5 linked regions of the Macaca fascicularis genome follow. The protein of the gene in region 5 purifies or fractionates together with the protein of the main gene of each other region. This does not show direct contact. Links are inferred from orthologs where the notes say so. Each region holds a gene or a part of one and is shown on either strand. Other genes may lie near its edges. The genes, in order: PARD6G, DCAF1, PARD6B, RAD18 and LLGL2.

The links.
Region 1: the proteins of LLGL2 (region 5) and PARD6G purify together in Homo sapiens (affinity purification with mass spectrometry; 4 studies listed by BioGRID and IntAct, counting the BioPlex papers as one, with this or other methods). This does not show direct contact. The link is inferred for Macaca fascicularis from reciprocal best matches to the Homo sapiens genes LLGL2 and PARD6G.
Region 2: the proteins of LLGL2 (region 5) and DCAF1 purify together in Homo sapiens (co-immunoprecipitation; 3 studies listed by BioGRID and IntAct, counting the BioPlex papers as one, with this or other methods). This does not show direct contact. The link is inferred for Macaca fascicularis from reciprocal best matches to the Homo sapiens genes LLGL2 and DCAF1.
Region 3: the proteins of LLGL2 (region 5) and PARD6B purify together in Homo sapiens (affinity purification with mass spectrometry; 7 studies listed by BioGRID and IntAct, counting the BioPlex papers as one, with this or other methods). This does not show direct contact. The link is inferred for Macaca fascicularis from reciprocal best matches to the Homo sapiens genes LLGL2 and PARD6B.
Region 4: the proteins of LLGL2 (region 5) and RAD18 purify together in Homo sapiens (affinity purification with mass spectrometry; 3 studies listed by BioGRID and IntAct, counting the BioPlex papers as one, with this or other methods). This does not show direct contact. The link is inferred for Macaca fascicularis from reciprocal best matches to the Homo sapiens genes LLGL2 and RAD18.

What each region holds. Positions count from the first base shown.
Region 1 is NC_088392.1:851,633-857,224, forward strand, and holds part of PARD6G (partitioning defective 6 homolog gamma), read left to right. Parts: intron 1-3,168; coding exon 3,169-4,004; 3' UTR 4,005-4,040; exon of another isoform or gene 4,041-5,592. UniProt on the Homo sapiens protein: Adapter protein involved in asymmetrical cell division and cell polarization processes. May play a role in the formation of epithelial tight junctions. The PARD6-PARD3 complex links GTP-bound Rho small GTPases to atypical protein kinase C proteins.
Region 2 is NC_088376.1:114,509,650-114,515,709, reverse strand, and holds the start of DCAF1 (DDB1- and CUL4-associated factor 1), read left to right. Parts: upstream 1-2,551; 5' UTR 2,552-2,678; intron 2,679-5,096; 5' UTR 5,097-5,143; intron 5,144-6,060. UniProt on the Homo sapiens protein: Acts both as a substrate recognition component of E3 ubiquitin-protein ligase complexes and as an atypical serine/threonine-protein kinase, playing key roles in various processes such as cell cycle, telomerase regulation and histone modification.
Region 3 is NC_088384.1:106,833,610-106,839,964, forward strand, and holds the start of PARD6B (partitioning defective 6 homolog beta), read left to right. Parts: upstream 1-2,578; 5' UTR 2,579-2,785; coding exon 2,786-2,851; intron 2,852-6,355. UniProt on the Homo sapiens protein: Adapter protein involved in asymmetrical cell division and cell polarization processes. Probably involved in formation of epithelial tight junctions.
Region 4 is NC_088376.1:147,159,813-147,165,404, reverse strand, and holds part of RAD18 (E3 ubiquitin-protein ligase RAD18), read left to right. Parts: intron 1-370; coding exon 371-511; intron 512-3,837; coding exon 3,838-4,021; intron 4,022-5,592. UniProt on the Homo sapiens protein: E3 ubiquitin-protein ligase involved in postreplication repair of UV-damaged DNA. Postreplication repair functions in gap-filling of a daughter strand on replication of damaged DNA.
Region 5 is NC_088390.1:81,957,781-81,963,372, reverse strand, and holds part of LLGL2 (LLGL scribble cell polarity complex component 2), read right to left. Parts: intron 4,821-5,592; coding exon 4,739-4,820; intron 4,460-4,738; coding exon 4,344-4,459; intron 3,918-4,343; coding exon 3,759-3,917; intron 1-3,758. UniProt on the Homo sapiens protein: Part of a complex with GPSM2/LGN, PRKCI/aPKC and PARD6B/Par-6, which may ensure the correct organization and orientation of bipolar spindles for normal cell division.

The sequences.
Region 1 (5,592 bases), on a different chromosome or scaffold from region 5:
AACTTAGCAGGAGGGATGGGAAGGACTACATGACTCCCGGGAAGCAGAGGTCCACACACTTGCTTTTATTGGTGCAGGGAACCCTGGTCTACCTGTGATTTATAAGCCCCTTACGAGAAGGGGGCTGGCCCGTTGTGCCCTTCTCTGTATCCCACAGTTCTGGGCTTAAGCCTTAATCCGGTCCACCGTGCACTGCGGCCAGAGCACCTGCTGCCCTGTGGGGATGGCTGAGATGCTGTCGCCTGGCCCTTGTGACGCAGACAGGTTTGTGGTTTTGGTGGAAGGGAATGCACTATGCGGAACAGGGGTGGGGCTCCCGGGATGGGTGGCTGTGAACTGGGACTTGAAGACAAGTGGCTCCCGGAGGGAGGTGAAATTGAATCTGAAACTCTGAGTCAGTGGTAGAGAGAAAGAGGATGCTTGGAACAGGAGGTGTCACCTCTCCCAGGCCAGGCCTCACTGTACTCTGCCCGTGTGTGGGACAGCCAGCCAGGCTGTTTCGCGCATGGACACGCACCATTTCTTACTCCCCGACCCTCAGCATCACAGTCAGGCCTCACCTGCCCTGCATAAAACCTCAGTCTCTTCTCCTGGGCCCTGCTGCTCACAGCCCCGAGCACAGGGCCTGTCCCCGGGGAGGAGCATGTGGATGGCCACATGCACGACAGTGTTCTTGCAGGCATGAGTTTGCCAGAAGGGCTGCCCTCTTGAAAGTGCATAGATTTGTCATCCAAGGAGACCCCTTGGGAAGAGCCCATATCATGGAAAACAGGCAGAGCACTGTGCCTCGGATGCTGCCACACCTCCATCTGTGGCCCCGTGGATCCACATTCCCTCCCACTTAGAATGAGCACACCATGAGGCAGATGCCTTTGTTCAGGTTTAGCTTTTAGTCCAGGGAGAGCCCACTCTGTCCCAGGCCCTTGGTTAATCCAAACCTGCGGCGGCAGCCAGACCAGACGAACGCTAAAGGCTCAGCCTCTCCTCATCACGGAAAGAGTCTGAGCCCCTCACCCTCCGGCGTCTTCTCTTCAACTCTGTTGTGGATCCACACCCCCCGGGCAGCGTCACTGCCACCTCCCCAGATGCCCCTGCACTGTTCCCATCGTATCCTGTGCACATCGTGTCTCACGGTGCTCTCCGTGTGGCTGTATGGAAAATTCAGTCTGTATCTCTTGCTCCCACTTGCTTCATGGCTACTTCAGAGCAGGGACTTTATCCACTCATCTGTATCCCTGAAGTCACCCAGTAAGCATTTGCAGAGTCTGTGAGGTGCAGAGAGGCCGGGTGCTGGCCAGAAACTGAGATCTTGTTTCTATAAAACAAGCACAGACAACCATATCCATGTGTACGTGTGAGTGTGCAGGAAAGGTGGTCACAGCTGGAAAGGAGTATTACAATTGTAATTTTAATTTATTTTTCTATTTTTGTGGGTACATATTAGGTATATATATTTATGGGTTACATGAGATTTTGATACAGGCATACAATGCCTAACAATCACATCAGGGTAAACAGGGTTTACAGGTGTAGTTTTTAAAAGTCATCTTATTTCTAAAGCCCTTTCAGACCTTACTGTGTCCGTGGGTAATAAATGATGCTGATAAGGGATGATGGATGGCTTCCGTCACTGAGCAGCTGTGTGGAGTGCTGGCCGGGATGCAGCTCCCAGGAAGACAGTTCTCATGCTGAGGCATCCCAGCTCCAGGGTGCACTAACCCTGCTGCCTGCAGCATGTTCCAGAGCCTGTGCTAGGGCCTTCTTGTTGTCTAGGCAGCCATGGGCTCTGCTGGGTTGAGAGAGGTGATGCCTGAGCATTGGCCTCCCCTCCAGGCTGCCTGAATGTTGCCTCCATGGTGAAAGTAATTTGCCTTCGAGTCCTTTCCAGAACTGTCACCCAGCATTCCCCATCTCCAAAGCAGGTCATAATGGGCCCTGCCTGCTCACTGAAAGGCAGAAGCCAGACTGACGCCTGGAGTCTGGAGGTCTCTGCTCTGAGGAGCGCCTGTTTATGGCATTGCTTCTGCCTGGGCTCCCAGCCCTCCTGGCTTTCACTGGCAAAGCAAAGATGTGAGCCTCCCCAGCCCAAAGAGCAGGCTGCTGTGGATGCCACCAACTCCACAGGACCAAGCCTCGCAGAGCAAGCCCTTCCCTCTGCTCCCCAAGACACCTGTTTTACAGACCCTTGTGTGTCAAAAACAAAAGAGGCTTCCTATAAAAATTAAATAAAACAAGATTTTTTTTTCTGACTCAAGGAAAATGCCTTATTCAGAGTTTCCAAATGCCACCAGTGTCTTCACTTAAAATTTTTACTTTACACTAAGTTCCTTACAACGTTTCTGCTTGATTAATTCAGTGGACTTTTATTTTGCAGTAGCCCGACTCTAGGGTAAAGTTTCCACACTGCCACAAATGTGTCATGCCACAGGCTGGCAGGTGTGGCCAGGCGGGTCCCACAGCGTCCCTGAGGAAGGGAGCCGTGCAGCCTTCAGGCTTCACCTACCTACAGATACCACTGACAGTGTGTGGGGCCCCACAGAAGGGAAGCAGCCGTCCTCTGCTCCCACTCCTTCGTCCACTTGTCTCCCCTCATCAGCTGCTAACCCAAAATGCAGGGAAATGCTCACACGCCCGACTGAGCGACACCTTCAGGGGCCTTGAATGCTGACTAGCAGACACCGTGGTGGGGCTTGCACATAGAAAGGAAAGCAGCAGCAGGAAAGGTCTCTCTTAGTTGTAATTAACCTTAGGAAAAAAGAGACGAGCCTCCATCTTACAGTTTAGAGAAGGAAATATGGGAGAATGGGCAAAGCTTAAGAAGTCCCCAGTCCAGCCTGCTGCCTCCCAGAAGGCTGAGGCACTCGCCAGTCCGCCGGGCCCCAAACCCTCCTCTGCCATTGATTCTCTCTGCTGCAGGTGCCTGCTAGCACCTTTTAGTCGGTAAGTCCTTTGGTTTGGTGCCTGTGGAGCAGCAAGGAGAGCGCTAGAGAGTTAATTTTAGGGGACGGCACTGGAGCTTGCCTGATTTCCGCCCAGCCTGCAGGTCTGGGACGCTCCTGTGCACCTGGGTGCTTCGGCGTCACGCAGATGGAACAGCAGTGCCAGGTGGCGGCCGAGGGCCCAGGCGGGGCTCGGTGTGTGTCCCTCTAACTGTCCCCTCTCCCGCAGAGGAGGCCGAGCGTGGCAGCCTCGGCGCGGGCTCGCTGTGCAGGCGGAGGCGGGCGCTGGGCGCGCTGCGTGACGAAGGACCCCGGCGGCGCGCACACCTGGACATCGGCCTCCCGCGCGACTTCCGCCCCGTGTCGTCCATCATCGATGTGGACCTGGTCCCCGAGACGCACCGGCGAGTGCGGCTGCACCGGCACGGCTGCGAGAAGCCGCTGGGCTTCTACATCCGCGACGGCGCCAGCGTGCGCGTGACCCCGCACGGGCTGGAGAAGGTGCCCGGCATCTTCATCTCGCGCATGGTCCCCGGGGGCCTGGCGGAGAGCACCGGGCTGCTGGCTGTGAACGACGAGGTCCTGGAAGTGAACGGCATTGAGGTGGCCGGGAAGACGCTGGACCAGGTCACGGACATGATGATCGCCAACAGCCACAACCTCATCGTCACCGTCAAGCCCGCCAACCAGCGCAACAACGTGGTGCGCGGCGGCCGCGCGCTGGGCAGCTCGGGACCCGCCTCGGACGGCACCGCGGGCCTCCTGGGTCCCCCCGCCCCGCGCGTCCTGCAGAACTTCCACCCCGACGAGGCGGAGAGCGACGAGGACAACGACGTGGTCATCGAGGGCACGCTGGAGCCCGCACGCCCCCCCCAGGCCCCGGGCGCCCCCGCGGGCAGCCTCTCCCGGGTCAACGGCGCGGGCCTGGCGCAGCGGCTGCAGCGGGACCTGGCCCTGGACGGCGGCCTCCAGCGGCTGCTCAGCTCCCTGCGGGCCGACCCACGTCACAGCCTGGCCCTGCCACCGGGCGGCGTGGAGGAGCACGGGCCCGCGGTCACGCTCTAGACTGAGAGGCCCCCCAGTCCTGGCTCCAGTTCCCGGGTAAGGACAGGGACAGGACCTGCAGACTGCATCCCCTCCTTTGTTGTTGTTTTTCTGACCACAAAAACAACTCAGCTCTTTGTTTCAACTTCTGGATATAGAAACACAAATACTGCCTATTTTTATCGAATTTCGCCACGAACTTAAAATGAATGCCTGAAGACAACTCTGTACCAGGCCTGAGTGCAGCTCTTCGCGCCTTTGCCAAGTGATGGAAAAGATCTGACCAAGTGTAAACAAATGCTTTAAAAAATTTTTACGCATACTTTGTTTTTAAAGTGAAGCTTTAAAATTACTTTTTAAAAATAGTCAAATTCATGTTTTTAACTTGGCCCATGCAAAATATGTCTCAGCATTCTTGCTGTGCTTTCTGCTGACTTGCAGGCGAGGCCGGCTGTGCTGATGTATGTGACAGGCTGGTTTTTCAAAACGAATGCAGCCGGGCGCGGTGGCTCACGCCTGTAATCCCAGCACTTTGGGAGGCCGAGGCGGGCGGATCACGAGGTCAGGAGATCGAGACCATCCTGGCCAACATGGTGAAACCCCGTCTCTACTAAAAATACAAAAAAATTAGCCGGGCGCGGTGGCGGCGCCTGTAGTCCCAGCTACTCGGGAGGCTGAGGCAGGAGAATGGCGGGAACCCGGGAGGCGGAGCTTGCAGTGAGCCGAGATCCGGCCACTGTACTCCAGCCTGGGCCACAGAGCAAGAGACTCCGTCTTGGGGGGGAGAAAAAAAACGAAGAAGAAATACACCCAAACCTGTCACAGGTACAACCACGGAGATGAAATCCAGATTTTCACACTGCTCATAGTCATAAATCGGCTGGGGCAGGAGAGCTCCCACCAGCACATTTCTGGCATCCGCAGCTGTGGAATTGTTCCGGGGCTGTTTTTTGTTTTGAGACCGAGTCTTGCTCTGTCATCCAGGCTGGAGTGATCGCAGCTCACTGCAACCTCTGCCTCCTGGGTTCAAGCGATTCTGCCCCAGCCTCCCAAGGAGCTGGGACTACAGGCGCGTGCCACCATACCCGGCTAATTTTTGTATTTTTAGTAGAGATCGGGTTTCACCACGTTGGTTAGGCTGGGCTTGAACTCCTGACCTCAGGTGATCCGTCCCTCAGCCTCCCAAAATGCTAGGATTATAGGTGTGAGCCACTGCACCGGACCAGGGACTATTTTTGTGACCCACAGAGATGGCCCATTCAGCCTCGAGGGGGAATCCAGGGTGGGCTCTGCTGCAGCTCTGCTGGACTGGGCTCAGCAGTCCCATTTGGGATCTAAGCCCTTTTCCCGTGGGTTGACAGACTCCGAGGGCAATTTCTGAAATGTTTTCAGCAGAAATGAAGGATAAGCATCGCACACGGCCAGCAAGGGCTTTGAGAAAGCAGTCATTTGCATGTGAGTTCTCATCTTTGCTTTTTGAAACAGACGTTTCTTTTTGTAAGTCACAGTACATGCTAATCTTCATTTCTAGAATGGTCCCTGGCAGTTCTCATTTTCAACTATAAGAAGTCATGTGGAACTTAGTGGTTTTTAACAAATACTAAATTCA
Region 2 (6,060 bases), on a different chromosome or scaffold from region 5:
CTTGCTCCCATCACCAACCCAGGACCCCAGGCTGGGTTTCTGTTTTTAAAAAAAAATTATAAAAAAAAATTTTTTTTGAGATAGAGTCTCTGTCTGTCACCCAGGCTGGAGTGTAGTGGCACAATCACAGCTCACTGCAGCTTCAACCTCCCAAGCGCTAACAATCCTCCCAAGTCAGCCTCATAAATAGCTGAGACTACAGACATGCACCACCATGTCTGGCAAATTTTTAAGATATTTTGTAGAGACAGTGGAGTGGGGGGTGTCTCTCTATGTTGCCCAGGCTGGTCTTGAACTCCTGGGATCAAGAGATTCTCAGCCTCTCAAAGTGCTGGGATTACAGGCGTGAGCCACAGCACGCTGACCAGGTTGGGTTTCTGAAATGAAGCAGTGCCATCTGGTGGCAGGCTGAGGCAGTGCCAGGAGCTGGTGAGCTGGGCCTTGAGCTCCCTTAAGGGCTCTGCCTTTTAGGACCCCAGCCACTGGAGAAGTCATCACTGGGCCGGCTAGACCATAGACAGAGGGGAGATATCTAAGGCTTAAATGTCCCATCTCCATACATTTTAGGTTCATGGCCCAGGAAAGTCACCTGAAGGAGTGCTGGAGGAAAGGCATGTGGGTTCCATTCCTTGATCTACCTCTCTGGGTTCAGATTTCTCATCTGTAAAGGTGATTAACCATATCTTCCCTGTGTGTGTGGCAGGGTAGTGAGGGTTAAATGAGAGAGTGTGGCTAGAACACTTGGCTCAGAGCCCAGCATGCTCTAAAGTTGAAAGAAATGGTAGTGGCCATTACTGATAGAGGCAAAGTTCCAGAAGCACAGAGAAGAAAGCTGTGTGTTGTTGCAGGAGAAAGAAGTGAAGAGAGGTGACATGTCTGTGGCGCTCCCAGCACACAGTAGAGTACACATTTAAGAGAAGGAGGATGGTCTCTTTTCTGGAAAGAGGGAAATGGGATCTAGTGGGGAGTGAAACCAAGGGAACCAGGATTCAGGTTCCTTACTAGCTGTGGAACACTGAGCATAGCGGCAGGCTTGCTGTGTCTTGTGTTCATGTGACAGTATTGTCCGTGAAGACTCATGGAAATGCACGGAGACTTGCTCAGCATTCCCAGAGAGATAATGAGCTGCGTAAGGCCTTGAAGGTTGGGTAGGATCTTGTCAGGTCAAGATTCTCCTCAAATGTGGAGTCATGTTTATCTTCTATGCCCCGCAAAAGGGACCGCTGGTCGGAGTAAGGAGTCTTCTGGTTCTGCTAATTGGTTGTGTGATGCTGGGCAAGTCACTCACTCCCTCTGGGCCTCATTTTTCCCAATAACATGAAGAAATTGAATTAAGTGACCTGTGAGGTCAGTCCTGCCTCAATCTATGAGCTTTTGATTTTTCACTTCTCTGCCTCACGTATAATACCTGGCAATAAGTATCTATTGATTCCTACAGGCTAGGTCTTGAACAAAAAGAGAGGCTGGGCGCAGTGGCTCATACCTGTAATCCCAACACTTTGAGGGACTGAGGCAGGAGAATCACTTGAGCCTAGAAATTCAAGACCAACCTGGACAACACAGTGGGACTCCGTCTCTACAAAAATTTTAAAAAATTAGCTGGGTGTGGTGGTGCACACCCGTAGTCCCAGCTACTTGGGAGACTGAAGTGGGAAGACAGCTCGAGCCCAGGAGGTTGAGGCTGTAGTGAGCTGTGATTGCGCCATTGCACCCCAGCGTGGGTGACAGAGCGAGGCTCTGTCTCAAAAAAAAAAAAAAAAAAAGACGGAGAACAAAGAGGCTGGGAGGCCCCGGTGGGTGGACCGCTTCAGCCCAGGAGTTCGAGACCAGACTGGCCAATATGGTGAAACCATGTCTCTACCAAATACACACACACAAAACAAAAACAAAAATTAACTGGGTGTCGTGGCATGCACCTGTAGTCTCAGCTGGAGGCTGAGGTGGGAGGACTGTTTGAGCCCGGGAGGCGGAGGTCGCAGTGAGCTGAGATCGTCACTGCACTCCAGCCTGGGCAACAGAGCGAGGCTCTGTCTCAAAACAAACACATAAAAAACAACTAGTGCCTTCTGTTTTAATGAGTGCTGTGATTTCTGATATGTTTATGAGAAAATATTTTCTTAGATCACGGTATGTTCTAGGTAAGATGAGGCAAATAGCCGAATAAAACAGAGGCTCTTTGCGCACACAGGTCAGAACAAGACACTAAAGCATCAGGCGATTATAGTACTGTCTTGGAAGGATTGACTCCCTCACTTTTCACTTCCGCTTTCCGAAGCAGCCAATGAGTACTCAGCAGTTCGCATTTATCCAAAAAAACTACAAATCCAGAAGTCAATGCGCGGGGCGAAGAGCTCATGCGTCAATTGGGACTGGTGGGCCCGCCCCTAGACGCGGAACTTCATTTCCCAGGCGTCCCCGGGGCTCTTCGATTTTCCTCGGATCGTGCAGGCGTTCTCCTCCCGCCCCTTGCTCACTGTCCTCGCGCCAAGTAGGCGCGCGCGCCCGCGCGCGCGGTGCACGTAGCGCGCGAGTGACGCATAATATGTGGGCCGCTGTGGAGCCGTGGTCGCGCTGTGTGTGTATGTGAGTGAAGAGTGAGTGCGGGACCTGAGGCTGTGTGTGTGAACTGTGGCCACTGGCGGGGTCGCGGGGGGGCAGTGGCGGAGCCGCCTCGGACGGTGAGTGGGAAATGGAGGGAGGCGACTCTACGGGAGGGGCGCGAGGAGGCAGGGCGCGTGGCTGGCCGGGCGGCAGAGTGGGCGCCGGGCTGGGGGAGGGGCGGCACCTGCTTGGGCCGCCGGCGAGGAGGGGGCGGGCCGGTCAGCCGGGAGGCTGGGCCCGGGGCCTGACAGGACTTTTCCTCCTCCTGATTCTTGTCCCGGGGGCGGGGCCTCCACGTTCTTCCTCCACTCCCCACGAGAAGCTTCCCGAGAGTAACTCTTCCGCCCGGAGTGGGGGGGCGGGGTGTGTCAGCCCCTACCTGGAGGGAGGGGCGCATGTCATATCCCTTGTCATCTTTTCCCTTCCAATCTTCCTAGTCTCTGTTCCGTACGGGCTTGGGGGGGCTCCATCTTCCGTACTATACGGCGGGCCCCTTCACGGACTGTGTCTCCGCCTCCGGCTCCAGTCACCTGGGCGGGCTCTCCAGTCTCTCGGCCTCGTGCCACCTCTCCCTGCACCCGCCCGGCTCTTGGACCTTGCGACGGGGGCGGAGCTTTCTGGTCACTCCTCTCATCCCCATGAAGAAGGGAAGGGTTGGAAAGAGGTGTGCGGGTCCCGCAGCCTGGAGTCAAACCTCAGAGTGCCCGCCAAACTTCCCGGGAGTCTGTTTCCGGGGGTTATAGTAGTTTTCAACTGGGGTTTCAGAAGCGTTTGCTTCACAACTTCACTTCCTAGACGGTTTTCTGTCTGGCTTCCTCTTACTGCAGTGGCAGCGCTCTGGTTTTCCATTTGTTGAGGAAATAGTTTTGGAGTGTTTGTATTAGTTATTTTTGAGTCAGAAATGACTTGTCCTTGGCCACGTCATGTTGGTCTCGGTTTTTCCTTACCCTGTTTTTTCGATGAAGCCTTTTAATTAGTCTTTACACGTTTTAATTTTTTATGTTAGTAGCATCTTCCTGTTCAAAATGCATTGTTAATGTACAGAATGAGAGGTTAATTGGTAATATCCTTCATTTTCTTTTTCCAGCTTACTGGAGTTTACCTTTAATGTTTATGTGTGTATATGTAGACTTTAGGAATCGATTTAGTATTTTTCTTAATGATGTGAACATTTGGGTTTTCTATATAGCAGTTATTCATTACCCATTTTTGAGTAGGTATATATATTTGGATGTTGAGATAATAGAGAATTTGGGGAGTGTAGGGAAATCATTTTTTGCTCAGTACCTCTTGGGTAGTTGCTGAGTACAGTGTTTTACTGTTCTGCCTATTATACAGTTTTTAAATTTTTTATTTTTATTCATTTATTTTTTGTAGAGACAGTAGTCTTACTGTGTTGCCCAGGCTGGTCTGGAACTCAAGTGATCCTCCCTTGTCAACCTCCCAAAGTGTTGGAATTACAGGCACGAGCCACTACACCTAGACTGTTTTTTTTTTAGATACAGGATCTTGCTCTGTAGCCTAGGCTGGAGTGCAGTGGTGTGATCATAACCCTTTTTTTTTTTTTTTTTGAGACAGAGTCTCGCTCTGTCGCCCAGGCTGGAGTGCAGTGATGCGATCTCGGCTCACTGCAAGCTCCGCCTCCTAGGTTCACGCCATTCTCCTGCCTCAGTCTCCTGAGTAGCTGAGATTACAGACGCCTGACATCACGCCCGGCTAATTTTTTGTAGAGACAGGGTTTCAGTGTGTTAGCCAGGATGGTCTCGAGTGTGATCATAACTCATTGCAGCCTCTAACTCCTGGACTCAAAGGAGCCTGCTGCCTCAGCCTCCTGAGTAACTAGGACTGCAGGCACAGGCTACCATGATTGGGTAATTTTTAAATTTTTGTGTAGACTGTGTCTCGAAATGTTGCCCAACTGACCTCAAGTAATCCTCCCGACTTGGCCTTCCAAAGTGTTGGGATTACAGGCTTGAGCCACTGTGCCTGGCAAGTTTTTAATTTTTTTTTTTTTTTTTGAGACGGAGTCTTGCCCTGTTGCCCAGGCTGGAGTGCAGTGGCATGATCTCCGCTCACTGCAACCTCCGCTTCCCGGGTTCAAGTGATTCTCATGCCTCAGCCTCTGGAGTAGCTAGGGATTACAGGTGTGTGCTACCACGCCTGGCTAATTTTTTTATTTTTAGTAGAGATGCGGATTTGCCATTTTGGCCAGTCTGGTCTTGAACTTTGGCCTCAAGTAATCCACCCACTTCAGTCTCCCAAAGTGCTAGGATTACAGGCATGAGCCATTGTGCCCGGCAAACAATTGTTAATATTATGCCATATTTTTTCTGTTTTTGTGTGTGGTATCTATATATTTATTTTGTGGACTACGCTAGCAGACACTTGTTAGGATAAGGAAATTTTACATAAGTATTTCTTGAGGCTTTGTATTATCCCACCATGGGGACAATATTGTCATTTAACCCCGCACAACAACTGTTTCCATCTTACAGATAAGGAAATTGAGATTTGGAGAAGTTAAATAACCAAGACTTCACAGGTATGTCAGCAGAATTGGGATTTGAATCCTTGAAATACTTTTTCTACCTAGTACTAGCTGGTCTTGGGGACCTCTCGGAGCTTGTTTCCTCATGTGTAAAAAAGGGTAGGATGGTTGTGAAAATTCAGAATAATGTAAGTGTAGTAAATTACTTACTCAATGTCTGTTCCATACTAGATATTCACTAATTGGTAACTATGTGTCACCATTGGACAGACCATCATTTCTTCATAGCACTTAAATAACTCACTTAAGAACTTGAGTAATGCATCCTCACTGTCTTGGGCATAACAAGGTGAAGATGACTGTCTTTTTGCTCTTGTTGCCCAAACTGGAGTGTAGTGGTGCGATCTCGGCTCCCCACAACCTCTGCCTCCTGGGTTCAAGTGATTCTCCTGCCTCAGCCTCCCGAGTAGCTGGGATTACAGGCACGTGCCACCATGCCTGGCTAATTTTTTTTGTATTTTTGTAGAGACGCAGTTTCACTATGTTGGCCAGGCTGGTCTCGAATTCCTGACCTTGTGATCCACCGGCCTCGGCCTCCCAAAGTGCTGGGATTACCAGGCGTGAGCCATTGTGCCCGGCCTAATTTTGTGTTTTTAGTAGAGACGGGGTTTCTTCATGTTGGTCAGGCTGGTCTCAAACTCCCAACCTCAGGTGATCTGCCTGCCTTGGCCTCCCAAAGAGCTGGGATTACAGGCATGAGCCACTGTGCCCAGCCTTTTTTTTTTTTTTTTCTTGAGACAAGGTCTCGCACTTTTGCTCTGGCTGGAGTACGGTGGTGCAGTCATGACTCACTGTGGCCTACACCTCCTAGGCTCAAGCAGTTCTCTTGCTTTAGCCTCCCTGAGTAGCTGGAACTACAGGTTGCAGTGAGCAGAGATTGCGCCCCTGCACTCCAACCTGGGCAACAGAGC
Region 3 (6,355 bases), on a different chromosome or scaffold from region 5:
AGCTCTCTAAAGGTGGTGACATGGTTTCCAGTCCAGCCATGATCAGAGTGTGGTCTCTGGGAGTCCCTGAGACCCTTTTACGGGGGTCATTGAAAGGCCAAAACTGCTTTCACAAAACTAAGACATCATTTGTTCTCCACATTCTCATTGTCTCATGAGTATACGATAGAGATTTCCAGAAGGGACGAGACATGTGATGACATCATCACTCTGATGACAGTTGGAATGCATGCTTGTGTATTCCCATGTTTTAGATACATCCGTTTTAATTTTTTTTTTTTTTTTTTTGAGACGGAGTCTCGCTCTGTCACCCAGGCTAGAGTGCAGTGGCCGGATCTCAGCTCACTGCAAGCTCCGCCTCCCAGGTTCACGCCATTCTCCTGGCTCAGCCTCCCGCGTAGCTGGGACTACAGGCGCCTGCCACCTCGCCCGGCTAGTTTTTTGTATTTTTTAGTAGAGACGGGGTTTCACCGCGTTAGCCAGGATGGTCTCGATCTCCTGACCTCGTGATCCGCCCGTCTCGGCCTCCCAAAGTGCTGGGATTACAGGCTTGAGCCACCGCGCCCGGCCTCATCCGTTTTAATTCTAAGATAAATACTGAAAGACATAACACATGAACAACGTACTTTGGGGTCCTCCATGATTTTTAATAGTGTAAAGGGGTCTTGAAAACAAAAAAGTTGGGAACTGCTGTGCTAGTCCAAACAGGGGAGTTACAGGCCCTGCAGTTTCCCTGACACGCACTTTATTTCCGGCTGAGCTTTAGTCACCTCCTATGTGCTTTCGAAGCTGCCTAGAGAGGCAGCTTGCTTATTTATTATTCAGCTTGGATTGGTGTCCTTTCCACCTGTGCTGCCACAGGTGGCCAGAAAAACCTTAAATTCCCCCATAAACGTCTGGTGACCTAAATCCTCCAGGGGGGGGGGGAAAAATGAGCTTCTCACCTTTGAACCCAGGTGACGCAAAGAGCCTGCAGAACGGACACCCTCAGCTGCAGCACCCAGCAAAGACACATCTGAGGACCCGCTGGGAGCCAGGTTCTGTGCTACTCAATGCCAGCAAAGCACAAGCGGTCCCTGCCTTTGGGAGCTTTCATTCTAGGCTGGAGGCGGATTACTCACAAAACTCAGATGCACACAAAAATGGGAAACCTGGAACTTGTCACAAGTGCTGGGAAACAGGGGTACAAGTGTTGGGAGGCATCCGGGGTGGGAAGGGAGATGAGGGGAGGAAGGTATCCTAACCACTCTTCTTGCCACATCTCAGGTTGGACCTGCCCCTCCACCTCCATTTCCACAGCCCCCTTCCTGGCTTGCAGGTTTCAACAGCTCTTGGATTCCCAGGTCCCACAGGGAGCCCTTGGGACCTAGGAATCTCCTCCAGCCAAAATCTTCAGTCTTCTCCTCGCCTCTCCATGACCAACAGGGTCTGTGTGAAGAGAGGCCGGGCTTTGGGACGTTCAGAGAGGAGGATTCAGCGTTTTGTTGCTCTGGGACACAGCTTGGTCACTCCGGGAAACGAACACAACCTAGAGGCTGTCATTTGTAGAAACAGCGAATGGCCAAGGAATGGCGGGAGAAGGGAAGAGGAAGACTTAATAGGTTTAAAGAAAAAAATAAATAAATAAAACCCGGAAAGACCGGAGTAGAGGCTGGGCCTGCAAGGAGCCTTCCCGCGCCTCAGCCCACTTTCCTTCCCTTTCGACCTGACGGACTTAGGGTGTGCAGGGTGTCTCTTCGGATAAAATCAAGCCAAGAGAGCCCTAAGCTTCTCCCCCAGCAACTGCTGCAGAGGCGGGAAAACTTGAATTTTGTAACCAAGAGTTGCAGCGGGACGCCTAAGCGACGATAAGGGGCAGTGGAGGGGCGTCGTTGGGGGCTGCAGCATCCCAAATTGGAAGCGGTGAGGGTGACCGGCGGGAACCGAACAGCCCCGCGGGGCCTCTGCAATCGGTCGCGCGGCGCATCCCATCCCCGGGCAGTGCGTGTGACTGGCGCGCGCCAAACGGCGAGAGCCCCCGGCGGCGCGGGCAACGAGGCGCGCACCCGCGCGTGCGCAAAAGGCCCACCCAGCCGAGCCCTTCTTCAGGTGCGCTCGCGCTTCCGGCCGGCCTCCCCGCGTGCCTTCCCGGGGCGGAAACTCCAGAACCCGCGCATGCGCCTTCTGTCTCTCCGGCTTGATGCGGGGCGGAGGTCCATAGCTTCAGGTGATCCCGCCCCTCCCTCGTAGCGCAGGACCAATGGTGCGGTGGTAGGCGGGGTTTTTGAGGAGGCAGCCCGCCCACGCACCGCGCGAGGCGTGTATCGATTGGTTGGCGCCGCGGGCGCAGGTGCGCGCTTCCTATTGGGTGTGGGCGGAGCGCGAGCGATTGCGGCAGCTTCGGCAGCTGCAGGTGAGCGCGCGCGCGCGCCGCGGCTGTGGCTGGCTCGGGTGCGCGCGCGCGGGCTCGCGGGGGAGGTGGCCGAGGGAGAGGTTGCGGCGCCTGTGGCCTCCGCTCCGCCCCCTCCTCCTCCAGCGCTGTCGCCGTCGCCGCCGGGGCCCGGAGGGAGGGAGCTGCCTCCCCGCCTGCCGCGCCGCCAGTCCGACCCTCGGTCCCGCTGTGTGAGTAGCTGGCGGAGTGGAGCTCAGTGCAGACGCAGGAGCTGCGGCCGCCCCCTCTGCAGGTGCCTGTGAGGAGGCGCCCGGGCCGCAGCCGGTTTCCGAGACCTCCGGTCGCGCACTTGCTCCCCGCGCTCCTGAGGGACCGCCCGACCGGAGGAGGCCGTCGCGGAGTTCGGCGCTCAGCATGAACCGCAGCCACCGGCACGGGGCGGGCAGCGGCTGCCTGGGCACCATGGAGGTGAAGAGCAAGGTGCGCGGGGCCCGGGCTGGGCGGAGCGGCGGGCCTGGAGGGCCGGGGCCTGGGAGAGGCTGGGCCAGGCTCTAAGCGCTGTGGGAGGCGACGGGCAGAGCTGCCCCGGGGTCTGGACGGTGCGGGCGGGAGACTGTGGGTAATAAACTTGCCAAGGAGGGGGCGGCGGGGATCGGGGGGCGCTAGTGTCCGCCCCTGGCCCCGGCAGGGAGAAGACCTAGTCCAGCATTTAATCTCATTCCGTAAATCTCATTCCCGTGTTCACGGACGGGAGTAGGGGCCAAGGTATACCCGAGGATGGCACACACTGAGTGGAATGCGAGGCGGCTCAAAAGGTGTAGGAGAATCCTGCCTGCTGGGCTGTGAGTGTGGGCCCTGGACCACCCCGTTGTTCCCACTTTCTGTGGTTCAGGGGCGCATCGAGCGGCGAAGGAGAGAGCCCAGTGAACTAAACAACCCTTTAAAAGTTCGCTTTGCTTCCTGCTGGCGCTCTTTGTAGCACTAACTTTGGTATGCATTTAATCTGTAAAATTAGCACTATCACCTTACGTTGGAGTAGCACTTTACAGTTTGAGTCTAGATGCTCTTTTCATTCCATCCTGCTACCTACTCACATCAAGTACTTTTCCCCTTGACCAACGGTATGCCAGTCTGCTGATTACTGCGGTATTCACTGAATTTCTAAGTCTCAAGGCTCGGTGAGCAGGGTAGTCTGTAGAGAGGGATTAGTTAGGGAATGCCTTCCAAAGGGGGTTTTGAGGTGGAATTTGAAGGTGATGGGCAGCCACGGGAACATTTTCAGCAAGCGTTTCTTGAGTTAAAGAGTTAAAAGGAGCTTAGATAATCTAGTCCAATTCTCTGAGAAGACTGAGGCTCAGAAAGGTTATGACTTCCCCAAGCTGCTTTTTGCAAAGCCTTCATGCCTTTTTAACAATAACTTTTAGGCACTGCAGAATACAAAACAGGACACTGGCTGGGCCCTGAGAACATTTAAAATAGAATTGAGAAGGCCAAAACACAGAAAAGGAGAAAATTGAAAGTACATCAGTTAAAAAAATGTAATGGAGCATCGTAGATGGTAAGACTACCAAGGAGTATGTAAAATGAAGGAGTGATTTGAGTGAGGTCCAGTGGAGTGAGGAAAGCTTCCTAGAGCGTCTGGGTAGAATGGTTTTGTTGTCTAGGGTTGATAAGCCAAGTTCTGTTAAGTTTCTGTAACTGAGAATCACATCGAGAAAATCTACATTCGTTTGTAACATCATTAAAAAAATGCGATTTGAGGCAGGACGCCGGTGGCTCACGCCTGTAACCTCAGCACTTTGGGAGGCCAAGGCGTGTGGATCACCTGAGGTCAGGAGTTCCAGACCAGCCTGGCTAACATGGTGAAACCCCATCTCTACTAAAAATACAAAAAATTAGCCGGCCGTGGTGGCACATGCCTGTAATTCCAGCTACTTGAGAGGCTGAGGCAGGAGAATCGCTTGAACCCAGGAGGTGGAGGTTGCAGTGAGCCAAGTTCGCACCATTGCACTCCAGGCTGGGCAACAAGCGCAAAACTCCATCTCAAAAAAAAAAAAGATTTGGCACTTAACTCATATGAGGATTGGCACTAGTTTCAGAATTAGTAAGAATAGAAGTGTAGTTATAGCAATTTAAGGAATGTGCACGTCCATGTGTCCTCTGTGCACAGCATAGCAAATTGAAGTGACTTGCTTGAGCTATAGCGTTAAGATGACCCAAAATATATAGCAGAGCTTTTCCACTAGCGGTGTATAGTGGCAGTAGTGGTTCCATGCCCAGTGGTTGAACCTTCTTACGGCATTTCTGTTATAAGTCTGGTTTGGATTTGTGGGTGTTGAGGTTATGGAAAGAAAAACACTTGTGATATTGCATCGTCTTAAAATTTTAAGTTTATAGCACTAATCTTGGTAGCAAGTCTTTAATTTTTTTCCATAGAAAAAAATGAGTAGGAATTCTAAGTATACTGATCAGTACAATCAAACAGTAATTTATCTCTAGTACTAAGAAAACCTTGAGTGCTTTAAAACTGGAATTTCAGGCTTTTTGCCTTTCTCTTGTCAACTGACTTGTGAATCTTTCACTTACTTCTAAACTACATGTTGTATATTTGAACTGCCATACTGCGCTTTTAGTGAACTGTGTCTTTTAAATAGAATCATACACTGATTCTAGGAACATGTGCTGAATGAAGTCGGTCCCACTATTCTAGCTGTTGACAAATAGGCAAGGTATAGGTAGGGAGTGTTTCTAATGTGTCTGTGACACCTTATATGTTTCAAATATATATTGCTGATACATATTTTAAAAATATTTGGACAGATTTTTGAAACAGTATTTTCTTTGACATTGCTTTAGTGATATCACAGCTTTTTACGAAACTGATTGCTAAGAGTTTATAACCAAAACTAGGTAGTGTGCAGGTCCTTTTTGTTTTGTTTTGTTTTTGAGACAAGATCTTGCTCTGTCACCGGGGCTGGAGTACAATGACACGATCTCGGCTCACTGCAGCCTCAACCTCCTGAGCTCAAGCGATTCTCCCATTTCAGCCTCCTGAGTAGCAAGACTATAGGCGTGCGCCACTACACCCAGCTTATTTTTATTTATTTATTTTGTAGAGACGGGGTCTCTCCATGTTGCCCAGGCTGATCTTGAACATGTGAGCTCAAGTGATCCGCCTGCGTCCACCTCTCAAAGTACTGGGACTACAGGTGTGAGCTACTGCACCTAGCTGGTCCATTTTTGTTTTACTATTTTTAATTTTTTTATCTTTTTAGAGACAGGGTTTTGCCATGTTGGTCATGCTGGTCTCTAACTCCTGTTCTCAAGTGATATGCCCACCTAGGCCTCCCACAGTGTTGGGATTACAGGTGTTAGCCACCCCACTGGGTTCCGGTCCATTTTTAGGATCTCTTTTTCTTCATGTAAAGCAGTAGTGTTGGCCAGGCACGGTGGCTCACACCTGTAATCCTAGCACTTTGGGAGGAAAAGGCAGGTAGATCACCTGAGGTCTTGAGTTCAAGACCAGCCTGGCCAACACGGTGAAACCCTGTATCTACTAAAAATGTAAAAATTAGCTGGGTGTGGTGGCTCATGCCTGTAATCCCAGCTACTCTGAAGGCTGAGGCAGGAGAATCGCTTGAACCTGGGAGGTGGAGGTTGCAGTGAGCCGAGATTGAGCCACTGCACTCCAGCCTGGGTAACAGAGGGAGGGAGACTCTATCTCAAAAAAATAAAAAAATGCAATAAAGCAGTAGTGTCAACATTGTTATCTTCACACGTGGAAGGGAAAAATAGTAATGATAATAAAAGAATGAAGAATGTAAATATACCTATAGTTCAATTTGTGGTACCAGCTAGTATGTGACTTTTCTTTGGTAACTGATTTATCTTCCTAATTGTATCTCTAGGGTTGGGAAGATTCTTAATAATCATGGTGATGTCCTTTAATAACCCTGGAACAGTCTTTAAGTCATAAAATTTCCT
Region 4 (5,592 bases), on a different chromosome or scaffold from region 5:
ACCACACCTGGCTAATTTTTTTGTATTTTTAGTAGAGATAGGGTTTCACCATGTTGGTCAGGCTGGTCTCGAGCTCCTGACAAATGGTCCACCTACTTCAGCCTCCCAAAGTGCTGGGATTACAGGCGTGTGATACCACGCTCGGCTAATTTTTTTGTATTTTTAGTAGAGATGGGGTTTCACCTTGTTGGCCACGCTGGTCTTGAACTCCTGACAAGTGATCCATTCACTTCGGGCTCCCAAAGTGCTAGGATTACAGGCGTGAGCCACCACGCCCATCCCTTGTACACCTCTTGGTATTCATTTTGTCAGTTGTAGATGGTTAACTTTCATTGTCCTAGCTTTACTGTGAAGATCTTTTGAATTTCAGGTAAGAAACATAAATGTGAATTTCAGCTTCTGGTGGATCAGGCTAGAAAAGGATACAAGAAAATTGTTGGAATGTCACAAAAAACAGTAACAATAACAAAAGAAGATGAATCTACAGAAAAGCTATCTTCTGTATGCATGGGTAAGAAACTATAATTAAAAACAGACATATGTTGAATTTCATTATTTACTTTTAATATGAAAAGAAAATTAAACCAAGGAAATTTACTTTGGAGTTCCTACTTCTTTGAAATGAGGAAAAGTATTTTTAGACAAACTTCATGTAGCAGTTTGTAAACTAGATTTATTACTGTGCGGAAAATGGTTGGAAGAATGTCCTGAAGAAACAATCTCTTTTTGTCTATCATCCTTTCAGTTAATGACAAATCATAAATTTCTTAGTTATTTAAGCTTGAGGATGTTTTCTAGGTGTAGAATTTATTGGTGGAGATCCTGAGAGATCCTGTAAGAGAGTGAATTATTTTTGTGATAGAACACTGGTGTTTACTTTGGATGAAATGTTCTGCCAAACGGTCTAAAGCTAATATACTGGTAGGCTAATACAGAGCACATTCCTTAACTTTGATCCATTTTAAAATTTGAAATTAATATTTTAATTCTATTGCCTGGGCTTTGGACCAGTGAACAAAAAAGAATCATAATGGGGGAAAGTGTGCAAGAAAATTCCTTATCATGTTTTTCTATACTGTGGCAAAATATATATAATACAATATTTATCTTTTTAACCCTTCATAAATGTATGTCATTGGCATTAAATACATTCACAATATTGTATAACTATCACCAATGTCTATATCCAAAACAATTTCATCATTCCCAGCACAAGCTCTGCACTCATGAAATAGCAACTCTTCCGTCCCCTCTGCCTCATAGCCCTGGTAATAACGGTTCCACCTTTTGTGTCTATGAGTTTGCCCATTCCAGGTACCTCATATAAATGGAATTGTATAATATTTTCTTTGTGTGTTGACTTCTTTCTCTAAGCATAATGCTTTCAGAGTCCATCAGTGTTGTAGCATATTTTAAAATTTCTTATTATGATTAAACAGTATTCTGTAGTATGTATATGCCATATTTTGTTTATCCATTTATCTGTTATGGTTATTTCCACCTTTTGGTAATTATAAATAATGCTGCTATGAGCATTGATGCTCAAATATCTAAGTTTCAGCTTAGAGTGGGATTTCTGATTCATATACTGGTTCTATGTCTAACCTTTTGAGGAATTGTTAAACTTTTCCGTAGTGGCTGCATTATCTTACATTCCCACCAGCAAAGCATAAGGGTTCCAGTTTCTTCACATCCTTATCAACGCTTGTTATTTTCTGATTTTTAAATTTTTTTAAAATTGTAGATGTGAAATGATATGTAATTGTGGTTTTGATTTGCATTTCCCTAGTGACTAATAAACAATTTGTGCATAAGGTGCTGCCTCAGTATGTAACTCATGGTCTTTGAACAAATCGAACTTGTTCATGCAATTGTGAAAGGATATTTCTAGAAACTAGTTTAGCACTTGAGAAAATCTGACTGAATATTTCCCATTAAGAAAACTTTTTTTTATTAGTTGAACCTCTCTTGAATATCATTGATGGCTTGTATGTATTTATGAACATCAGTATTACTCTTTCTGGGGTTCAAAGGTGATTGCTGCTTTTAGATTGCTGTGCATGAATGAGATGTCTGAGAGGGTAAGGAATGTGAGAGAGGTGAAGACAGACACAGACTGACTAAAAAGATGAATTTTGTATAGCATCATACAACCAATATAATTGTTGCTCTTTAGGACAAACATTGAAGTGCTCATGTAAGTGAACAAGTTGCATATTCTCTCAAGTGAAAACTTAGCCTGTTTTTGTTGTGTGTCTCTGGGGAGCTCTGATGTCTGAGCCTCACTCCTGAGGCTCTATTTTGAAGTCCTGCATTCTGAGATCTAAGGGCAGGTAGGAAGGATAACTTATTTTTTATGCCTACAGATTATTGAATGCTGTTTGTCCCCAAGAAGGAATATATTGTCTAGAAGTGTATGTAAGAGTGGAAGAAGTAAGAAAAGAATACAGACAATGTGCAAAAATAAAAGATTGTTTTCAGTTGAATTCCTGTTCCCTGGTTTGCTTTTTTGCATGCGCCTCACTAGTTGAGTAATATAGTCCCTGGGTGAACCGAGTTGACTGGGGGATTGGCTCCTCTTAATGTGATCCTGGTATCTGTTTACAAGAGGAGTTCTTAGAGGTTCAGGATGGTCATCCTGGCTAACTTCTTTTTCTCTTTTCCAGATATACTTTAGAGGGTGCTGTTTTGTTTTGCTAATGATAGTTTATTGATAGCCAGATGACATTAGGAGCATATTTTTAGGAATTATACTCTTGTGAAGTATGCTGTTCTCCCGCTATAACAAAAACTTAGAACTATTTCTGAAAAAAATTTGACTGTGTGAACTTGGCAAGGTTTTTTGAAGAATGTGTTATGTTCTTTCCCCATAAATTCTCTCTGTATAACCAAACCTTGACAATTGTATTTTTATTGTGCTTCGTTGAAGACCACTTGCCTCTACAAGTGCTTGAGGAGTGATGTGTGAAAGCTCTGTTTCTCTGTGAGGAAACACATGAAAGGAGCTCTGTACTATTATTAGCACGTGTAGCTTGCATGCGAAAGTACCTCCTCAGTTCCTGAAAGTTAAGGACAGCACAGATGAAAATCCCAGCAGAGTTTATGATGAGTAGGAGAATCCTGGGCACTAAAGAATCTTTCGCAGATATTCTTCTCGCTCATATTTGTAGAAAATTGGCCATTCCCATATGCCACATTTTTGTAAACACTGCATCCTTCCAGCTTTTTGGGGTCTTTATTTTTATCTGCAATAAGAGACCTTAAAAGCTGAGAATATGACAAAGAATGCATGGAAATGTGATGTATATTGGATCAAATGGAAATATTCCTTATGTCTGATTAGTTGTCCTTTTCCATAGAGAATAATTAGATTCTATTTAACAGGTTTAGAAAAATGTCCAGATAGATTCACTATCATATAGTAGTGACAAATATTGTGGTTGTCTTATTAGTTGAATCTGTAGTCTTTTTTTTTTTTTTGGTTATACATCTTACGTTGGTTTGTCAGTGTTCTCTGATCTATGAAATATGCAAGAATTCCTCAGTGATATGTTAATAGATGCCTCATTAGAATTACAAGATTCTTCCTGCTCCTGGTTTTAAAATAAATTTTATTTTTAAACTAATTAATCTTGGAAAAACATGGGCTGGATAGTATAATTAGGTAGCACCATTGTAGTGTTAATTCTTGCTCTCTGGCTGTCACTAGAGTTCTGGAATCAATGTGACATATTCTTCAACTTTACTAAGTGCATATGGTAGTATTAAGTGTTGCAGAAGTAATAGGCGTACAGAAGTTGTAGATTTTAACGTACTCTTAAATTTATTTTTTCCTAGGACAGGAAGATAATATGACCTCAGTAATAAACCACTTTTCTCAATCAAAGCTGGTAACAAACCACTTTTCTCAATCAAAGCTGGACTCCGCAGAGGAATTGGAACCTGACCGAGAAGAGGATTCTTCTAGCTGTACTGATATTCAAGAAGCTCTTTCTTCACCAGAATCAGATTCATGCAATAGGTAAGAAACATGCAGGAGTTGATTATTTTAAATATCTACCTCATATGCACACATAGATAGTTAGGCAGAAATAATTAGAAAGTAGCTTTGAGGCATGGTATGGTGTGTCACTCTTACATTTCAGTCCCCTTTTACTGCTGGGTCATCTTCACAGTGGTAACAAGGCAGGATTTGGGAAGGAAGTACAGGGATCAGAGGGTGAGTTTGGTATAGGCTTTATATAGCCTTTTTATAGATATAAAAAGGCTCTATAGCCTTTTTATAGATATTTTTCCTACCGTTGGAAAAGAAAGCATGATAGGCAGTGAAATTTTTGTCAAGACAATGAGTGAAGGAGATAAAAACAACTGTATTGGAAAACAGAGATGATCAGAAAGACATGGCACATAGGAGAGTTAAGAAATGAAAAATTTAACTGAGTAAATAGATGGGGAAACTTTAAAAATGAGAAGTTTGGTAATGAGTCATTTTGAAAAGATATTTTAAAAATATATAGGGTTTATTTTACACACACACATGCATGCACACATACCATTTTTTCTGGTCTTTCACTTAATATGTCATAAATGTTAACATTTCTATAGGTTGGCACAAAAGTAATTGAAACCACAGTTAATTTTGCACCAACATAATACCTTATGTTTATAATTGTTGTTTTTAAATGAGTACAGTATTTTGTTATGTCTCTGTACCATAATTTACCAGACCCTTCAGTTTCTGTTAGAGCTCTGCATTTTTTCCAGTGTTCTACTTACGTGCCTGATGCTATGGTAAAGCTCTTCCTTTGTTCCTATTGAATACTTTTTTTTTTTTTTTTTTTTCATTTTTTCGAGATGGAGTTTTGCTCTGTTGCCCAGCCTGGAGTGCAGTGGCGCAATCTCAGCTCACTGCAATCTCTACCTCCCAGGTTCAAGCATTTTTCCTGCCTCAGCTTCCCAAGTGGCTGGGATTACAGGCCTGTGCCACCTCACCTGGCTAATTTTTTTGGTATATTTAGTAGAGATGGGGTTTCACCGTGTTGGCCAGGCTGGTCTCGAACTCCTGACCTCAAGTGATCCACCCACCTCAGCCTCCCAAAGTGCTGGGATTATAGGCGTGAGCCACCATGCCTGGCCACTTTTCTTACATTTATTATTCTGATAGGTAGGCATTGCCTTCCGAATGAATTGTACTGATTTAAAAAATGCTACCAGCAGTATGTCAATATGAGTGTGTCTTGGAAGTTATTTGATCTTTGGTGTTAGTTTATTTAAAAATTAGTAACATTGCTGTAGAATGATAGACTATTTCTAATCTAACTAATGGAATTATTAGTACATTTTTTATTAGTATACCCAGTGACCCTCTGTTTTTGTAGGATACCTGGGAAACAGTTTCAAATTAGTCAGAATGAAGTATTAGGAAGGAGAAATCTTCCCATCTCATTCCAAAGATTTTCAAGATCAAAAAATTATATTTCTAGTTGACTGAGGGTAAAACATAGGGTTGCGTGATTTGTTATCGTAGATCAGGCCATTCCTGCAAGTCCAGTGCAGTATTTGTTTTTAAACACACATGTAGGAATACAGAAA
Region 5 (5,592 bases):
ATGGAAATATGGCTAGGGGCTGGGCGCAGTGGATGGCTGAGTGTGGTGGCTTATGCCTGTAATCCCAGCACTTTGGGAGCCCAAGGTGGGCGGATCACTTGAGGTCAGGAGTTCGAGACCAGCCTGGCCAACATGGCAAAACCCTGTCTCTACTAAAAATACAAAAAATTAGCCGGGCGTGGTGGCACATGCCTGTAATCCCAGCTACGCGGAGGTGGAGGCAGGAGAATTGCTTGAACCCAGGAGGCAGAGATCACAGTGAGCCGAGATCACGCCACTGCACTCCAGCCTGGGTGACAGAGTGAGACTCCATTTCAAAAAAAAAAGGAAAGATGGCTAGGACATGTCACCAAGGGGATAGGGGGCAGCATGTAGAACAAGACAGGGACATGGAGACAACCTCCAGTGATGTAAATACAGGCGGTACAACTATAAGGCAAGGCAAGGCAGTGACTTCTGGAAAAGTCAACGTGGGGGCAAGAGGGAGCCTTGACTAGGAAGGGTGCGTGAGGCCCCCGGAGGGCATCAAAGTTCTATTTCTACGTCTGGGGGGATGGCTGTAAGGATGCTCTACAAAAATCTGTTAAACTGTACATTCATATTCAGTGCATTTTTGCAAAAGGGAGTGTTTAATAATAAAGAAGTTTTTTAGCCCCATAAAACAAAACTCTATGAGTTGGCCTGGCCCTGGAGCCTTGACCCCTCCCCCGTCTCCAGGCCTGGAATGCTGACCTGAGGGCTGGAGGTGTTGCAGCCAACAAAAAAACCACAAGGCAGCAGGCACAGGACCAACAGCCAACAGTGAGGCTGTGGGAAGCGGACCCAGCCTGGACCCAAGCCACACTAAACCCAAGCTCTCCACATTATCTATACCTGGCACATCTACTGCTAGCACTGACCTCACTGACATTAGAATCTGAATCGAGAGTGAGAGTTGAAGGGGACTTTAATATTTAATTTTTTTTTTTTGAGATGGAGTCTCGCTCTGTTGCCCAGGCTGGAGTGCAGTGGTGTGACCTCAGCTCACTGCAACCTCCACCTCCCGGGTTCAAGTGATTCTCCTGGTTCAGCCTCCCAAGTATCTGAGATTACAGGCACCCACGACCATGCCAGGCTAATTTTTTGTATTTTTAGTAGAGACGGGATTTCGCGATGTTGGCCAGGCTGGTCTCGAACTCCCGACCTCAGGCGATCCACCCATCTCCGCCTCCCAAAGTGCTGGGATTACAGGCGTGAGCCACTGCACCCGGCCTAATTTTAAAAATTTTTAGAGACAGGATCTCATTCTGTCACTCAGGCTGGAGGGTAGCGACCTGATCATGGCTCACTGCAGCCTCCAACTCCTGGGCTCAAGTGATCCTCTCACCTCCCAAGTAGCTAAGACCACAGGTGTGTGCCACCTTGCCCAATTAATTTTTATTTTTTTGTGGGGAGAGACAGGGTCTTGCTATGTTGCCCAGGCTGGTCTCAAACTCCTGGCCTCAAGCAACCCTCCCATCTCAGTCTCCAAAAGGGCCGAGATTACAAGTGTGAGCAACTGTGCCCATCTAGATATTCTTAATAAATGCAAATAATGCCCTTATACAGATGAAAATTGTTAGACAATTAGAGGGCTTCCAACTTTTTGCCATTAAAAACAGCCCTACAATGATCATTGTTATCCTGTATCTTTTCACAGAGACTTCTCAGAGACAGAGCTGCAAGACTAAAGGGCTGGACGTTTTAAAAACTTAGATGGCCGGGCGCGGTGGCTCACGCCTGTAATCCCAGCACTTTGGGAGGCCGAGACGGGCGGATCACGAGGTCAGGAGATCGAGGCCATCCTGGCTAACACGGTGAAACCCCGTCTCTACTAAAAAATACAAAAAACTAGCCGGGCGAGGTGGCGGGCGCCTGTAGTCCCAGCTACTCGGGAGGCTGAGGCAGGAGAATGGTGTAAACCCGGGAGGCGGAGCTTGCAGTGAGCTGAGATCTGGCCGCTGCACTCCAGCCTGGGCGACAGAGCGAGACTGTCTCAAAAAAAAAAAAAAAAAAAAAACTTAGATAAGTGTAATCAAGTGGATGAGAATGTAAACTGCCAAAAGGGGCCAGGCGCGGTGGCTCACACCTGTAACCCCAATACTTTGGGACGTGGAAGTGGGTGGATCACCTGAGGTCAGGAGTTCGAGAGCAGCCTGGCCAACATGGTGAAATCCCATCTCTACTAAAAATACAAAAACAAGCCGGGCGTGATGGCGTGTGCCTGTAATCCCAGCTACTCGGGAGGCTGAGGCAGGAGAATCATTTGAATCTGGGAAACAGAGGTTGTGATGAGCTGTGATCGTGCCACTGTACTCCAGCCTGGGACAGAGTAAGACTGCCAAAAAAAATGTTTTTTTTTTTTTTAATAAATAAACGAACTGGGCCAGGCGCTGTGGCTCATGCCTGTAATCCCAGCACTTTGGGAGGCTGAGGCAGGCAGATCACCTGAGGTTGGGAGTTTGAGACTAGTCTGACCAACATGGTGAAACCCCGTCTCTACTAAAAATACAAAATTAGCCGGGTGTGGTGGCGCATGCCTGTAATCCCAGCTACTTGGGAGGCTGAGGCAGGAGAATCGCTTGAATCCAGGAAGCAGAGGCTGCAGTGTGCTAAGATCGTGCCACTGCACTCCAGCCTGGGCAACAAGAGTGAAACTCCATCTCAAAAATAAAATAAAACATAATACAAAATAAAATAAACTGGCAGGAGGAGCTCTCAGGGCACATGGGCCCCCCTGCCAACTAGACTCTCACCAGCTAACTACAGGGTGAGGCTAGGCACTGGTGTGGCCACCTGCTGGGGTGCACATCCCATGCCATCCTGCCCACAGGCTGTGTCCCATTGTGGTACTTGTCATCCTGCAAAGTGTTCTGCTCTGACCTTGGGCACAGAGCCCTACCCTGCTGAACCGGAAAGGCAGAGGTCTGCACTCAGAGGGATATAGCCCCAAGTGGGATCCTCCCAGCCCAGCAATGCCCTGCCCTGGGTAGATGGTCCCTGCTTCATTACCACCCAGGGCTGGAGAGATGGGCTGGCCAGCTGCAGGAGTGTGTCCTGGGCCCAGTCCAAAGCCTTGCAGGGCCAGGGGCCAGCACCCTGGCCTCCTCCTGTCCCTTGGAACCACAGATCATTCCACCACAAGCGACCTGGCCCCCACACGATCCTGTCAGACGCTATCCCCTCTTTTTTTGGGTCCCATCCCATTCTCCACAACCGGACCTGATCTGACTCCCTCTCTATCATAGTTCCATCGACAAGCGGAGCAAAGCTTCTGAAATGATCTCAACAGACCCACATGCCTGTGGCGGTCAACGCTTTTTAGCCACGGAGCCTGCGAGCAAATGGAACCTCAGCAAAGTGCCCACAGCACAGGGTGGCACCAGGAGCTGCTCTAGTAATGCAGGGAGGTCTGGGCCCGACTTCCCCGCTATGGAGCCCCTGGGGTTTTGAAACCCATGGCAAGTGCAAATGACACTGGACTGAGAGTCGGTGACATTACACAGTCATTTGGGGCCTTTAGATCCCCCAAAGTCCCCTTTTTAGTGCTATGATGCTAACCTATGATAGGCCAATAGGTTCTCAGTAGGGGACAGGTAGGAAGCCAAGAGCCTCCCCTGCTAGCCCCATGGAATTCCCAGCATAGAAATGACAGCTCCTGAGAGAGTCCTGGGACCAAGGGGAGAAGCCATGCCTAACTTGAGGGGATGGGGTTAACAGCAGCCGGGCTCTGGGCTCACCGCTGCAGCACCGCGTCCGAGCTGATGGTCCGGTCCTCCAGCGCGCGAAAAGCTGGCAGCTGCACCACAAACACGTTGCCGCTCTCGGTGCCCAGGTACAGCAGTTCGCACAAGGAATGGGGCAGGACCACGGTGATCTGTGTGGCACTGGGGGCAGCCCTGTGACAAGAACAGCTGCCTGTGAGCTGACCGCTGCCCAGCAGGGGAGACCCCATGGACAGGGTCTCCTGACTCCTGGGAAAACAAGCCCATAAAAATTCATGGGGTTCATGACCTTTCAGCCCAGGACAAACACTGGTCACTTTCTGCCAAGACAGGAGACAGATGGCAGAGAGGCTGGGCTAGGAGGTAGGAAAGACGCCAGGGGCCCTCCAGCATAACACGGGGTGTGGGCGGATGGAGGAGGTGGGCTGCGGCCCCACCCACTCCACTCGGAGCACCTGAGTATGGGGATGCATCGGGTCAAACGCATGCCAGGCACTGCCAGGGGCGCAACAGGCCCCACGAAGGGTGAGTCCACTCCAGAGCTAAGGGCAAGGGTCAGGCTGGGCTGGGAGTGGAAGGGGCTGGGGACTGAGCCCTTACCCTGGGGGGCCACGCAGTGTGAAGCTCTCATCCTCCTGCAGCTCCGATGCTCCGCCCTTGACCTTCAGGCTCCAAAGGTGCAGGCTGTTGTCATCCAGCAGGGTGACCAGCTGGCACTGGCGAGGGCACAGGGATGGGAGCATGTGGTCTTGCTACCCAGCAAGGCCTTTACACACTGGGGCCGCCCAGCCTGGGCTGGTTGTTTCAAAGACCCCCTGGCCACTCCCAGCGTGGCCCACGAGCCCCACCTGTGGAAAGGGAGGGGGTCCCAGGCCTTTCCAGCAGCAGCAAACCCAGGGCCACTGAATGCCAGCCTCTCCACACCAGCCCTGCTGGAAGCAGTGAGGGCAAGGAGGGTGTGGAGGTGGCTTCCTGTCCCACCCCAGGTCCCTCACCTGGCCGGGCAGGAGGTGGATCTGCGTCACTGCGTTGTTCTCCCGGTGCAGCCCCATGAACTCCACGCCCGGGGCTCCATAGCTACGAGCAGGCTCAGGAAAGCTCTGGAAGGCCAGACACCATCCCCTGACACCATCCCCTGCCCACCTTGAGTGCCAGGCCCTTGGGGCCCACATGCAATGAGTGCAAACACAGAGAGGGGCTGCCCTCCCCGCAGGCAGCAGGACTCATGCATGGAGCCTGGGATGGGGAGGAGATACAACAGCCCTGGCCCTGGGGCACCAGGCCAGTGACCCGACCCCTGGGAGATTTTTCCCAGTCAGGCCGGTGGGAGCAACTCCATAGAAAGGTGAAGCCCTACCCTGGCAACCGTCAGGCTGCCACCCTGATTCTGAGCTACAACAGACGTGTTGGCTGTCGCTTGGTAGCACCTGTGAAAAAACACACGGCCTATCCCCAACAGCCTCGGCACCAGGGATTGGTAACCAAAGTCTGGCTGTGGCCTGGCAATGATTAACCAGTGAGGGAAGGCTGAGCCGGCAGCAAGGCCCTGGCCCTCTGTGTACACCAGCCCAGCCTGGAACTCGAGCGCTCCATACCCCTCCCCCACACCGGGCAGAGGGGAAGAGGGACGTCAGGCTCCGCTGGAGGTGGCAGTCAAGCTGGCAGAGGTGGTCCCTCATCTCTCAGCTCCCTTGGGTCCTGCCCTGGGAGCACAGATCAGACTGGCGGGGTGCCCAACCTGATCCGGTTTTTCATCTCTGAAAACACCGGGAGCCCCCAGTCGGCCAGAACCAGTGCTCTGGATAAAAGATGACCCAACTGGACAACGTCCAGCCTCAGGCCGGGGAAG